Linked DNA regions of Canis lupus familiaris. The protein of the gene in region 1 interacts with the protein of each later gene in a biochemical or structural test. Links are inferred from orthologs where the notes say so. Each region holds a gene or a part of one and is shown on either strand. Other genes may lie near its edges.

The links.
Region 2: the proteins of UBC (region 1) and DTX2 form a complex in vitro, tested with the Homo sapiens proteins (2 studies listed by BioGRID, with this or other methods). The link is inferred for Canis lupus familiaris from reciprocal best matches to the Homo sapiens genes UBC and DTX2.
Region 3: the proteins of UBC (region 1) and CAPN15 form a complex in vitro, tested with the Homo sapiens proteins (3 studies listed by BioGRID). The link is inferred for Canis lupus familiaris from reciprocal best matches to the Homo sapiens genes UBC and CAPN15.

What each region holds. Positions count from the first base shown.
Region 1 is NC_049247.1:5,228,743-5,232,342, reverse strand, and holds the start of UBC (polyubiquitin-C), read right to left. Parts: upstream 2,298-3,600; 5' UTR 2,139-2,297; intron 1,317-2,138; 5' UTR 1,314-1,316; coding exon 1-1,313.
Region 2 is NC_049227.1:7,551,794-7,555,507, reverse strand, and holds part of DTX2 (probable E3 ubiquitin-protein ligase DTX2), read right to left. Parts: intron 2,211-3,714; coding exon 2,137-2,210; intron 750-2,136; coding exon 591-749; intron 1-590. UniProt on the Homo sapiens protein: Regulator of Notch signaling, a signaling pathway involved in cell-cell communications that regulates a broad spectrum of cell-fate determinations.
Region 3 is NC_049227.1:40,481,645-40,485,458, forward strand, and holds the start of CAPN15 (calpain-15), read right to left. Parts: upstream 2,428-3,814; 5' UTR 2,300-2,427; intron 1-2,299.

The DNA.
Region 1 (3,600 bases):
TCGGACAGGGTGCGCCCATCTTCCAGCTGTTTGCCGGCAAAGATCAACCTCTGCTGGTCAGGGGGGATGCCCTCCTTGTCCTGGATCTTCGCCTTGACGTTCTCGATGGTGTCACTGGGCTCCACCTCCAGGGTGATGGTCTTACCCGTCAAGGTCTTCACGAAGATCTGCATGCCCCCCCTGAGGCGAAGGACCAGGTGCAGAGTGGACTCCTTCTGGATGTTGTAGTCGGACAGGGTGCGCCCATCTTCCAGCTGTTTGCCAGCAAAGATCAACCTCTGCTGGTCAGGGGGGATGCCCTCCTTGTCCTGGATCTTCGCCTTGACGTTCTCGATGGTGTCACTGGGCTCCACCTCCAGGGTGATGGTCTTACCCGTCAAGGTCTTCACGAAGATCTGCATGCCCCCCCTGAGGCGAAGGACCAGGTGCAGAGTGGACTCCTTCTGGATGTTGTAGTCGGACAGGGTGCGCCCATCTTCCAGCTGTTTGCCGGCAAAGATCAACCTCTGCTGGTCAGGGGGGATGCCCTCCTTGTCCTGGATCTTCGCCTTGACGTTCTCGATGGTGTCACTGGGCTCCACCTCCAGGGTGATGGTCTTACCCGTCAAAGTCTTCACGAAGATCTGCATGCCCCCCCTGAGGCGAAGGACCAGGTGCAGAGTGGACTCCTTCTGGATGTTGTAGTCGGACAGGGTGCGCCCATCTTCCAGCTGTTTGCCGGCAAAGATCAACCTCTGCTGGTCAGGGGGGATGCCCTCCTTGTCCTGGATCTTCGCCTTGACGTTCTCGATGGTGTCACTGGGCTCCACCTCCAGGGTGATGGTCTTACCCGTCAAGGTCTTCACGAAGATCTGCATGCCCCCCCTGAGGCGAAGGACCAGGTGCAGAGTGGACTCCTTCTGGATGTTGTAGTCGGACAGGGTGCGCCCATCTTCCAGCTGTTTGCCGGCAAAGATCAACCTCTGCTGGTCAGGGGGGATGCCCTCCTTGTCCTGGATCTTCGCCTTGACGTTCTCGATGGTGTCACTGGGCTCCACCTCCAGGGTGATGGTCTTACCCGTCAAGGTCTTCACGAAGATCTGCATGCCCCCCCTGAGGCGAAGGACCAGGTGCAGAGTGGACTCCTTCTGGATGTTGTAGTCGGACAGGGTGCGCCCATCTTCCAGCTGTTTGCCAGCAAAGATCAACCTCTGCTGGTCAGGGGGGATGCCCTCCTTGTCCTGGATCTTCGCCTTGACGTTCTCGATGGTGTCACTGGGCTCCACCTCCAGGGTGATGGTCTTACCCGTCAAAGTCTTCACGAAGATCTGCATTGTCTGTCACAAAAAAACCCAAAAAAACAAAAAAAACAATCCGGAGTGTAACAGACCACTCACATGTGAATAGAACGCTAACAGTTACTGGTCATTTTACACTAACCCAAGAACTAAAATAAACCTCGCCAAAAAACCTAAGGCGAAGAAACAGGACAGGTTTTGGAAACTCAAATAAGCTCCAAAACCAAGTTCCAGGCCCCAGGAGGAGAGAAAGCATGGATACCGGTCAAGTGAAGGCGCCGGCTTCCGTATCTTCCCCTCCCCCCTCAGTGATGTCTGGACCGGACAATCCGCAGGATCTCCCCTCCCCCGCCCCGCCTAACCCTTGTGCCCCGCGACTGACCCAAGCCGGCTCCACACACAGGAACACGCGGCCCCACCCCGGATTGTTAGCTGACAAAGCGATGACATCACATGACCGACGCGACGAGCGGGCCCCCTCCCCCCAAACGGGCGCAGGACTGCTCCGGCACTTCGGGCCCACTCGCCGCGACCGGACACGGAGCGTGGCGCCAGCGGGGCCGCGGAGCACACAGGGGCTTCCCGCCCCCACTCACTGCGCAGAGGGCCCCGTCAGGGCCCCACTGGCTCGGCGCGTCTCGCCCGCTCACAGCCATCCCGTCTCCCGGGCTCCTCACGGCCCCTCGCACCTCGGCTTCTCCCCGCACAGGAGCCGTAGCGGACGCCATTTTGCTGCGCCCCCCCCCCCAAGAGTAACCGCGCTCCGGCGCCGCGGGCAACTCCCCGGGCAGCCGGCTGCCCGGCCCCCCGCCCCTGCAGGGCCCCAAGACCCCCAGGCCCGCGCAGCGGCCCGCTCCTCACCAAGCGGCTGTGACAGAAGCGCACGGAGACGAACAACCGACCTCCCGGCCTCCACGGAACTGCCTGCGCCACGCCCGGCGCCTCCTTATATAACAATCGGCCGCGCCGCTCCGGCGGATCCCTGCGCAGAAACGCCGAGAAGGGACTACTTTTCACCGTCTTCCTGGCCTCCAGGGAGAAAACCACTGCCCCAGAATCTTCTAGGAGCCCCCGGAAACGTCGACCTGTCAAGGCTGGGCTGTAGGGCTGAATCTGGCGAGGAGAGGGCCGCGGTCCCGAGCGCCCGCGCGGAGGGATCAGCGCGCCCGTTGAGTGCTGCGTCCGCGGACGTGGCCGGCGCCGGATGCGAGGGGGGAGGGGGGAGGGGGCGAGCGCGGAGAACAGGGCCCGCGGGAGACGGGAAAACCCGGCGCGGAATCGCCGGGCGTCCGGGGCGAGCTGCCCCTGCCGCGGGACCCAGACACCCCTTCCCCTCGGCCGCAGCGGTCCCCGCGGCTCTCGAGACCCGCCCTGGGCGGAGAGGGGTTGGGCGTCGTGGTCCCTCGCCCCTCCGCGACCGCAGGGGTCCTCGCGCCGGGGCCTGCGGCCCGCCCATCCCCCCGCGCGGGCGCGGACAGGACGGATGACTCGACAGATCGCGGCGCGGGGCGGGAGGTGGGCCCGGGCTGGGCTGGGGCAGCGGGGGAGCAGGGGGTGCGGGACGGCCGAAGGCTAGAAGGGGGCGCAGAAACCCCGCACGCTTTGCCCGCACCTATTCGAGAGGCGTCTGGAAGTCCACCGAACTTTCTAGAATGTCCTTTGGCCTTCCTGTACCACCTACGCCGCCTTGTACTAGATACACACACGGAGGCATCTGGTGGACACTCAGTGGAGCTCAGACGTACAACTTCCTTAGGCCTGGGGTCTCAGAAACACAAGTCCAATCCCAGGCCTGTACATTCGTGGGCGGGGGGGGGGGGGACACAATTTAATATCCCAAATACAAAATTTGGGGCACCTGGGTGACTCAGTGGTTGAGTGCCTTTGGCTCGGGGCGTGACCCCGGGGTCCTGGGATCCAGTCCTGTGTTGAGGTCCCCGCAGGGAGCCTGCTTCTCCCTCTGCCTGTGTCTCTGTTTCTGATGTCTCATGAATAAAGATCTTTTTTTTTTTTTAATAAAGATCTTTAATAAATAATTTAATTACATTGAATTCTATGGCAAAATTCCATTTGAATAAAAGGAGAAAGACTGAAAAATAAAATACCTGAATATGGTGAAAACTTAAAAAGTTTCTGGAAGTTTACAGAGAAAAGTCCTTCACATGCTCAATCCCCCAGCCACTGTCTCTTCTGGAGCTATTCTCTGTTTCAGTGTGGAGGGGGGAAAGATCTTTTCATTTCACCCTCAAAGCTTTCAAGAAAAAAACAAATAGGAAAAGTTGCCTAAACAATGTTCTGCGGTTAAAAAAAGACTCATTCCTGT
Region 2 (3,714 bases), on another chromosome or scaffold:
CTGTGTCTCTGCCTCTCTCTCTCTCTGCTTCTCATAAATAAATGGATAAAATCTTTAAAAAAAATAAAATAAAATCTTAAGAAAGAAAGAAAAGAAACCCAATCCTCACGGCTTCCCTGGAAAGATGTTCTACTAGGAGACTGGCATCAAGTAGGCAAATCAGGTTTATGCACAGAAGAATCTATGGTCTGACAGGTTTCAAATCAAACAAAAAACCCTGTGACCTATCACTGCTGGTGCTGGCACCCTGGCTGGTTCAGAGAGCACAGGGATACTTCAGGGAGAGGAAGCCAGGCCCAATGGTCTGCCACATGACTCAGGTCTTTCTCTCTGTCCTCCTAACCTCCGTCCACTCTGGTTAAACTCCCCTGCAGAATGGCACCCAGGTGTCACTTGCCACCCTCAGCCCCCCAGTGGCCAACCTCTTTTCTGCTGCAGGCCAAGGCCTGCCGACATCTCAAGGCTGCCTCCTAGGGTGTCCTGGGCCCTCTGCAGGGCAGCGGCAGTCAGTCAGATGCAGCAGGACCAGGGCAGGCCCATGGGCAGGTCACCCGGGCCCCCCGCCCATCCCAGGGACAGAGGTGTGGCACCTTGTTCCCATTGCAGTACATAGCCAGCAGACACAGCAGGTGGAAGGCATGGCTGCACTTGGCAAGGCGGCCCACTGCCACTGGCCCAATGGTCTTGCTGTGGGTCACGTCGCTGTACCCGGACACCACGGACAGTTTCTCCATACAGATGATGCAGTCCTGGAAGGAGACCAGCACAGGGCATGCTCACCAACAGCTTGCTGAGCCACAGGCGTGGAGGTATTCTTAATAGGAAAAGGCCTTCCTCTGCTGAAACACCAGGATTCTGGGCAGTCTGGTAGTCAGCTGTCCCAGAGGCTGGAAAGACCGGTGAGTCACCAGGATCTGTGCCCTCAAAGGGCTCACCACAGTCAAGGGGAAAACAGACAACCACAAGCACAGGCCACACAGAGGCAGGGAAAGGGGAAAGAACAGGCAGGCTGAGAGGCGAGGCCCTTGAAGTGGGGTATCACAAGGAAAAAAGGACAAGGTGAGCAAGGATGGGAATACACAGTCCAAGGAAAGTGCAGAGAATGTCGTGAAGCAGGAACCAGCAGAGTCTGGGAACAGCAGTGGCAGCCACCGGGGCCGAGGGGTAAGTAGGGTATAAAAAGCCAGACGGGACAGGACCAGGTCCCCGAAGGTTCTGATGGCCACACTCAGGAGCTGGGCTTTGTCTCACACGTCAGGGGCCTTGTAGAGGAGTTTTAAGGTTGGGGGTACCAGCACAATCACAACTGTGTGTAAGCTGAGTGGCAGCTTGGAGGACAGGAGGCTGGCATGGAGCAGCCCAGGTATGGCAGGGCCACAAGGGCAAAGACAAGGACACTGATGTGGGCGCTGTCAGGTGGGAGCATAGACAGGGCTGGAGGGATGGTGGGAGACACAAGGATGGCCTCCAGGTTACTGAACCTTTTTCACCCAGAGCTGCAGGAGAGTCCTGCACAGGCAGAGTATGTGGTTCTGTACTGGCGTAACTACCCTTTAACCCATGACTCCCACCCACCACCCTCAGAGTCCTTGGAGCTCTCCATTCAAATCAGAGACCAGTGGCACTGTAGACCCCAAAACACGGCTCAGCACAGAGGATCGGGTCCTATTGAAACTGCTATGAGGGTCTGCAGGCCCTGTAATTACAGGAAGGCTAACCAGCTCTCCCAATAGCCAGAGGGGCAGGGCTGCTTTGGGGACAAAGTCACTACTTTTCCCCAGCTCGGTCCTCGGGGAATGGGCAGGCTCTCCCATCCCTTGTCTCCAGGACCCTCCAAGGCCCCAGAGTGGCACAGGAAGAGGGCTACACAGAGGCCCGTGTAGGAGCCTTGCTCAGAACTACAGCTCATCAGCAGCAAAGCTAAAACCAGAATGCAGGCCCCTGAAGCCAGATCACCTCCTCCTGGTAAGGCCTGCCTCCCGTGGGAGGCTGGGTGATTAAACCCGAGTACCCGAAACAAGGCCGGAACCTTAGGGAAGTACCCACTCAGCAGAGAAAGGCCAGTATCTTTCACCTCAGGAGCCACCCCTTGCCTCCAAACAAAACCAGAGGCAGCGTGGCTCCTGTGACACATACCTCATCTGAGGCCATTTTCAGCTCTTCCGTATATTTTTTTATCACCTGTTCTGGCTCTGGCTTTGGAGTCCCTCCTAGAAGAGAAAGGAACATCAGCGGTGTCCCAAGGGGTATGAACTGGAGATGCTGAATCCAGAGAGAAGGAGGACAAGGGAGAGGCCCAAGCTGCCAGGAGGGACGTTTAGAGGGGCCAAGACGGGAGGACTGAGTGTGCGAGAGGAGAGACATGACACTAGTGCAGACACTCAGAGCTCTGCCTAACAGAGCCCTATCCGGTCCACCCGCTGGAGGCCCGATCCCAGAAGCCCTGGAGGCAGCTGGATGAGGACCAGAGACAGCTGCTGTTCATAGCCCTCAGGAGTCACAGACTGGGCCTCCTCCACACATCCCCACACACTTCGGTCAGGAGGCTCTTCAGAGGATGCACAGAAAAGTCAAACAGCAGCTGCTAAAACAAACTACTCTGGAGCAGGTTTTGGCAGCGCTGTTTCACTCAACTGCCACTACTCTCGTGAGAAAGCCGAGGCAAAAGTAGTTCCAGGGGCTGAACATGCAGCGGCAGACATCTGTGCGCACGCCACCTGCAGACAATGCCACACAGACACGGTCACCACAAATCACAGGTTTCTCTCTCCTGGCCCTGGGCTGTGAGGTTTCAGTGACACACCAAGCCTGGGAAGGAGCCAAGACGCAGCAGGAAGTGTATTCTGGCCACCTCCTCCTCGGTGCGCACACACACTCGAAACCAGGAGGGGCGGCCCTGCACCTCCATCAACGTTGAGCCTGACACCACATCAGCCCCCCATACCCCCAAAACGAGAAACTCCCCCAGTTGGTGAGAGAATTGGCCAGGCCCGGGTCTTCTCCAGCCAGAGGCAGTGGCAGAATGACAGAGAATGCAGCAAAGCCGTGCGGGAGCAGAAAGGGGGGCCTGGGGAGACCAGTGCAGCCGGGAAAGGCCCTGGCAGGGCTCTTCTTCCCGCTTTGGGTCGCAGGGCAGGTCCTGCTTCTAGCCTCTGACCCCAGAAGGACCCTGGTTTGAACCCAAGCTCATAGCCACTGGCTACAAAGACATACAAGCCCGAGGGCTCCACAGCCAAGTGCCCTCAAAACTAGAGAAGGCCTGGGTGCGGCTGGGAGCAGGCAACGTCAGGGGTGATTCTGGCCACCCTGGGACCAAAGCACATCACCGGAATCTCAGTTCTTCACCTAATGGAGACCTCATCCTGACCCAAACTATGACTGTGGTGAGGGCATGAAGTGCGATTATCTGAGAGGCAGCTACGGGCAAAAGAATACCATCCCCCCTTCCACAAACGTATCCCCCACCCCCTCACTCACGCACCCCTCCTCATCCACATACATAAATGTCCCCACACTCCCTTCACATGCGCACCCCATTCATTCCCATACAAACGTATCCCCCACCCCCCCACACACACCTGACACCCCCGTCACACATGCACCCCACATTCCCATACATGCAAACCCTCCCTCAAATACAGACCCATACACACAGATTTCTAGGCCCCTGACAGTCACTGGTGAGAAAGCCAGGCCAAAGCACAATGACCACTG
Region 3 (3,814 bases), on another chromosome or scaffold:
TGCCCGACGCGCACCAACAGTGCTGATGTGCAGGGTCTGCAGCGGCAGGGAGCGCTCCACCCGCCACAGAGCTGCCCCCGAGCCTCGCAGCGGCTATAGCAGCTGCACCGGCTTCCTGGCACCCCCAGCGACCCCTGACCCTGCAGGCCCTGCCAGGCAGGTGGGCGGCCTCCAGGGTGGGCTACAGGCTGGCAGCCCGGGTCCGTCTCCCTGACGGCTGGAAGGGCTCTCCCCAAGAGCCGCTGGCACAGGAGGGCCTGTCTCGGGGTCTTCAGGGATGACGGCACCCCGACGTCTGGGGGTGGGGAGAGGACGTGGGAGTAGGAGCCCCTGGTGGAGTACCCTGGCTGAGCAGCCCCACGCTGCCTGGGGCCAGTCCCTGGCTCTCGTCCCAGCTCCATGTCGCCGTAACGCAGCACAGGGGGCGTTCACACAGCCTGCTCCCCAGGCCTCGGAACCTGATACGAAGCTCAGGCGAGGACCTCCCGAGGGGCAGAGGAAACCCCGATTCCAGGTGACAAGCGTCCCACCGCCCTTCCCCCACGGGGCCTGCTGGGTGGGCAAAGCAGCCCGCGCGGCCTCACTCTCCGGGCGGGGGCACGGGCGCGGGCCAGGCCGGCAGGTGCCGGGTGCAACACCCACCCCCTGTGCATCTCCGCCTGCCTGGGAAACAGCCTGGCGTCCAGCGCGCGCCAGGTGACCGACGATGTTTGCAGGCTGCCCCTCAGGGCGCCCGTCTGGCTGCTGTGCCTTGAAGAATGAAGCAGAGTGCGTCTCTCCGGGCAGAAGCCGGAGCGCACGCCGTGGGGACGCCAGCCTCCCGCATGCTGTATCATGCGGACGGGCGGGTGCTCCGCGACAGGGTGCCGCACTGGTCCTCCCTGCTCTCGTTCAGGAGTCCCTGCCCTACATTTAAACGGGGCAGTGGCCTAGATCTGGCCTCAGGCAGCCATGGAGGTGGGGCCGCCGTCCTGCCCCCCGCCTGGGGTGGGGCACGTGCCTAGCACGACACCCCAAGAAGACAACCCCTCTTTACGACCCCGTGCGGGGAGCACCTGCTTCGGTCACGGCAGGACCCATCACCCGAGCCCACCTGCTCCCCCCTGCCCCTGCGGGCCCCAGCACGGGGTGGGGGGAGCAGGGGCGGGGTGCCGCAGTGCAGGGATGCAGGCGAGCTGCTTCTGCCCAGGGAGACTTTGCCAGGGCAAGGACCGGGGCAAAGCGATGGCCGGCAGGAGTCAGCAGCCCGTGAGCAAGTAAGGCAGTGGAGGGGACCAGGAGCCCGAGCAGGGGTGTTTATGTCCCGCTCTTCCCATGCCCCGGGGCCCCAGAGTCCAATGGTCCGAGCCCTGCACCGATGCGTGCTGCTTAGTGATGCCTCTTCCGGGCGGCCCCCACAACCACGTCCCACTGCGCGCACTCCCCATGCCGCCCTATGGCTCCCGGGGGAGGCGGTGAACATGGTGTCCCAAGTCCGCGACTGCCCACCCGGCCCAGGACAAGCCTCCTCAAATCTCCCCGTCCTCACGAACTGCAGCAACCCCCAGGTCAGCCCCAAGGCAGGGGCACAGGGGAGGGATGACGGATAGCGGCCTGCTGGGGGGCACCCCAGAACACTGCTGCTCCCTGCACCTGGTGGCCACCCCCCAGAAGGCCAGCCACGAGCCCGAGGACAGGCGGGGCCGGCCAGAGTGAAGCCAGGCACTTCGACCTTCCTGCCACCCCCAGCCCCACCTGCCCCCCGGACGGGCAGGGTGCAACAGGGATGGGCCATCAGGCCTGCGCGGGTGCTTCGGGGGAAGAAACACCAAAGGCGCGCGGCAGACGCACCTGCTCCGCAGCCCGTCCTGCACAGACAGGACCGCAGGCTTGGGCCCCATACTCAAGGGGGCCCGAGGGCACCAGCCGTTGTCGGGGATGCCCACGCTGCGCTCGAGCCCTGCCACCCCACGACCGGCCTGGTCACACCGCAGCACTTGGGAAGGGGCCCTCCCCTCGCAGAAGGCAGGCTCCGCGACAGCAGCTTAGCCAAGGGCACACCCACCGGGAGGGCACTCCCCTGCCCAGAAGATTCTGGACTCTGGCCCTGCAGACCCACCCTCAGGCTTATCAGCACGAGCCCAGGGTCCACCGGAGCGTGCCAATCAGGCACTCGGTCTGGCTCTGCCTCCACCCCCAGGCCAGGGCCACATGGGTCACCCCATCTCCGGACACGTGGACCTGGACAAGGGACGACCCTCGGGCACCTGGGAGTGTCCCCGTGGCTGGTGGCCCTTCAGAAGCTGCATCTGTGCCTTACCCAGAGGAGGCTGGTGGCTCCGGAGAAGCCGGGAGGCTGAGCCAGCACCTCGCTGCCTAGTTTGGAACCCCGACCTCCCCAGCCGGGCTGCCGCACAGCAGGGGACTGTTGATGATCCAGGGCCCAGGGGCCGGGGCCTCCGCCAGCCCGGCTCTGCCCACCTTCCCCAGAGGTACCAAGCGGGCCGGGCTCCAGGCAAGCAGCCAGCCAGGCCGCTAAACGAGTCACCTGGACTCAGATCCGGGCATCGCTGGCCGCTCCCCTCAAGGAGGCACCGCTGCCCCCAGCCCCGCAGCTTTGTCCTCAGAGCACCAGCACCTGGTGGGCACGGGCGCTCGCAGTGCCCTCTGCTCCTTCGGCTCAGAACAGGGCACTGGGCTCCGCAGCGCGGGGGCCGCCTCCACCGGCTCACCGGGGCCCTCAAGCAACACGGAGGCCAGGGGCCCCAGCTGCGTGCCTGGAGCCAGCCAGGCCTGGGAGCAAAGCCGCGGGCGTGGACGGGTCACTAGCTCCTCCTGGGAGGAGCCGTCCTCTGTCCTCACCCCCGCCCTCCTGACCAGGAGCCGCTCCCCGAGCGCACTGCGGGTGCTGGCCACTCTTCTCAGCATTTCTGGACTCTCCCCCGTGCCAGGGACCGACGTCCTCACAGGTCCGGGCAGCCAGCACTGGGACAGCAGTTGGGGCTCCTCGCCGTGCAGCTGGGCACCTGGGGGCGCCTCTGGACACCTCCTGATGCAGCTGGGAAACAACCAGCAGGGGACAGGCAGGGTCTGCGGTACATTCCGAGGCACCTGCTTCCCGGGGTGGGGGTGGGGGTACGAGCCCCTGAACCGGATGCACACTAGGTGCCCGGGCTGCCCACACGGGAGGGGGCCGGGTCGCTGCGCGTCCTTAAACTTCTGCAGAGTCACACGTCACTTTGCGCACCACACAGAAAATTAATCAAATTCTCCAAAACAGCACTTGCAGAGGAACAGGGACATTCTCTGGATTTCGGTTTCTGACTTCATGAGTTTGGTACCGTTTAACGACACATATCATCTACGGAGAAACAAGAGGTGCCAGATGCGTTCTCACTTCGGGCACTTCTGTGTTTGCCGGTGGCAGACGCAGCCTCAGCCCGGGCAGCCTGGCGACCTCCGGCCTCACCGGCAGCACAGCCTCAGGGGGGCAAGGGCCTCCGAGCCTTCAGCTCACCCCAAGGGAGGAAGGCGGAGGCTGGGAAGCCGTGCGGCCCAGGCCCTGGGACTCAGGCCTCTGCAGCCACGTCTCCGGGATGGCAGGGCTGCAGCACGCGCCACCCCTCCTGTCAAATGGACACAGGGCAGGCGGCCCTGGGCTTCCAAGATGAATCTGATTCCAAAGGGCGACTTGTAGGGGAAGCTGGGATGCCGGGGGCCGCTGGCGTGCGAGGAGGAAGTCCGGCCTCAGGTCTGGGCCGCGGTGGCGCGGGAGCAGGAAGCTGCGGCCGACGCCTCGCAGACGCACGAGCACCGCTGAGCGGCAGCGGCCAAC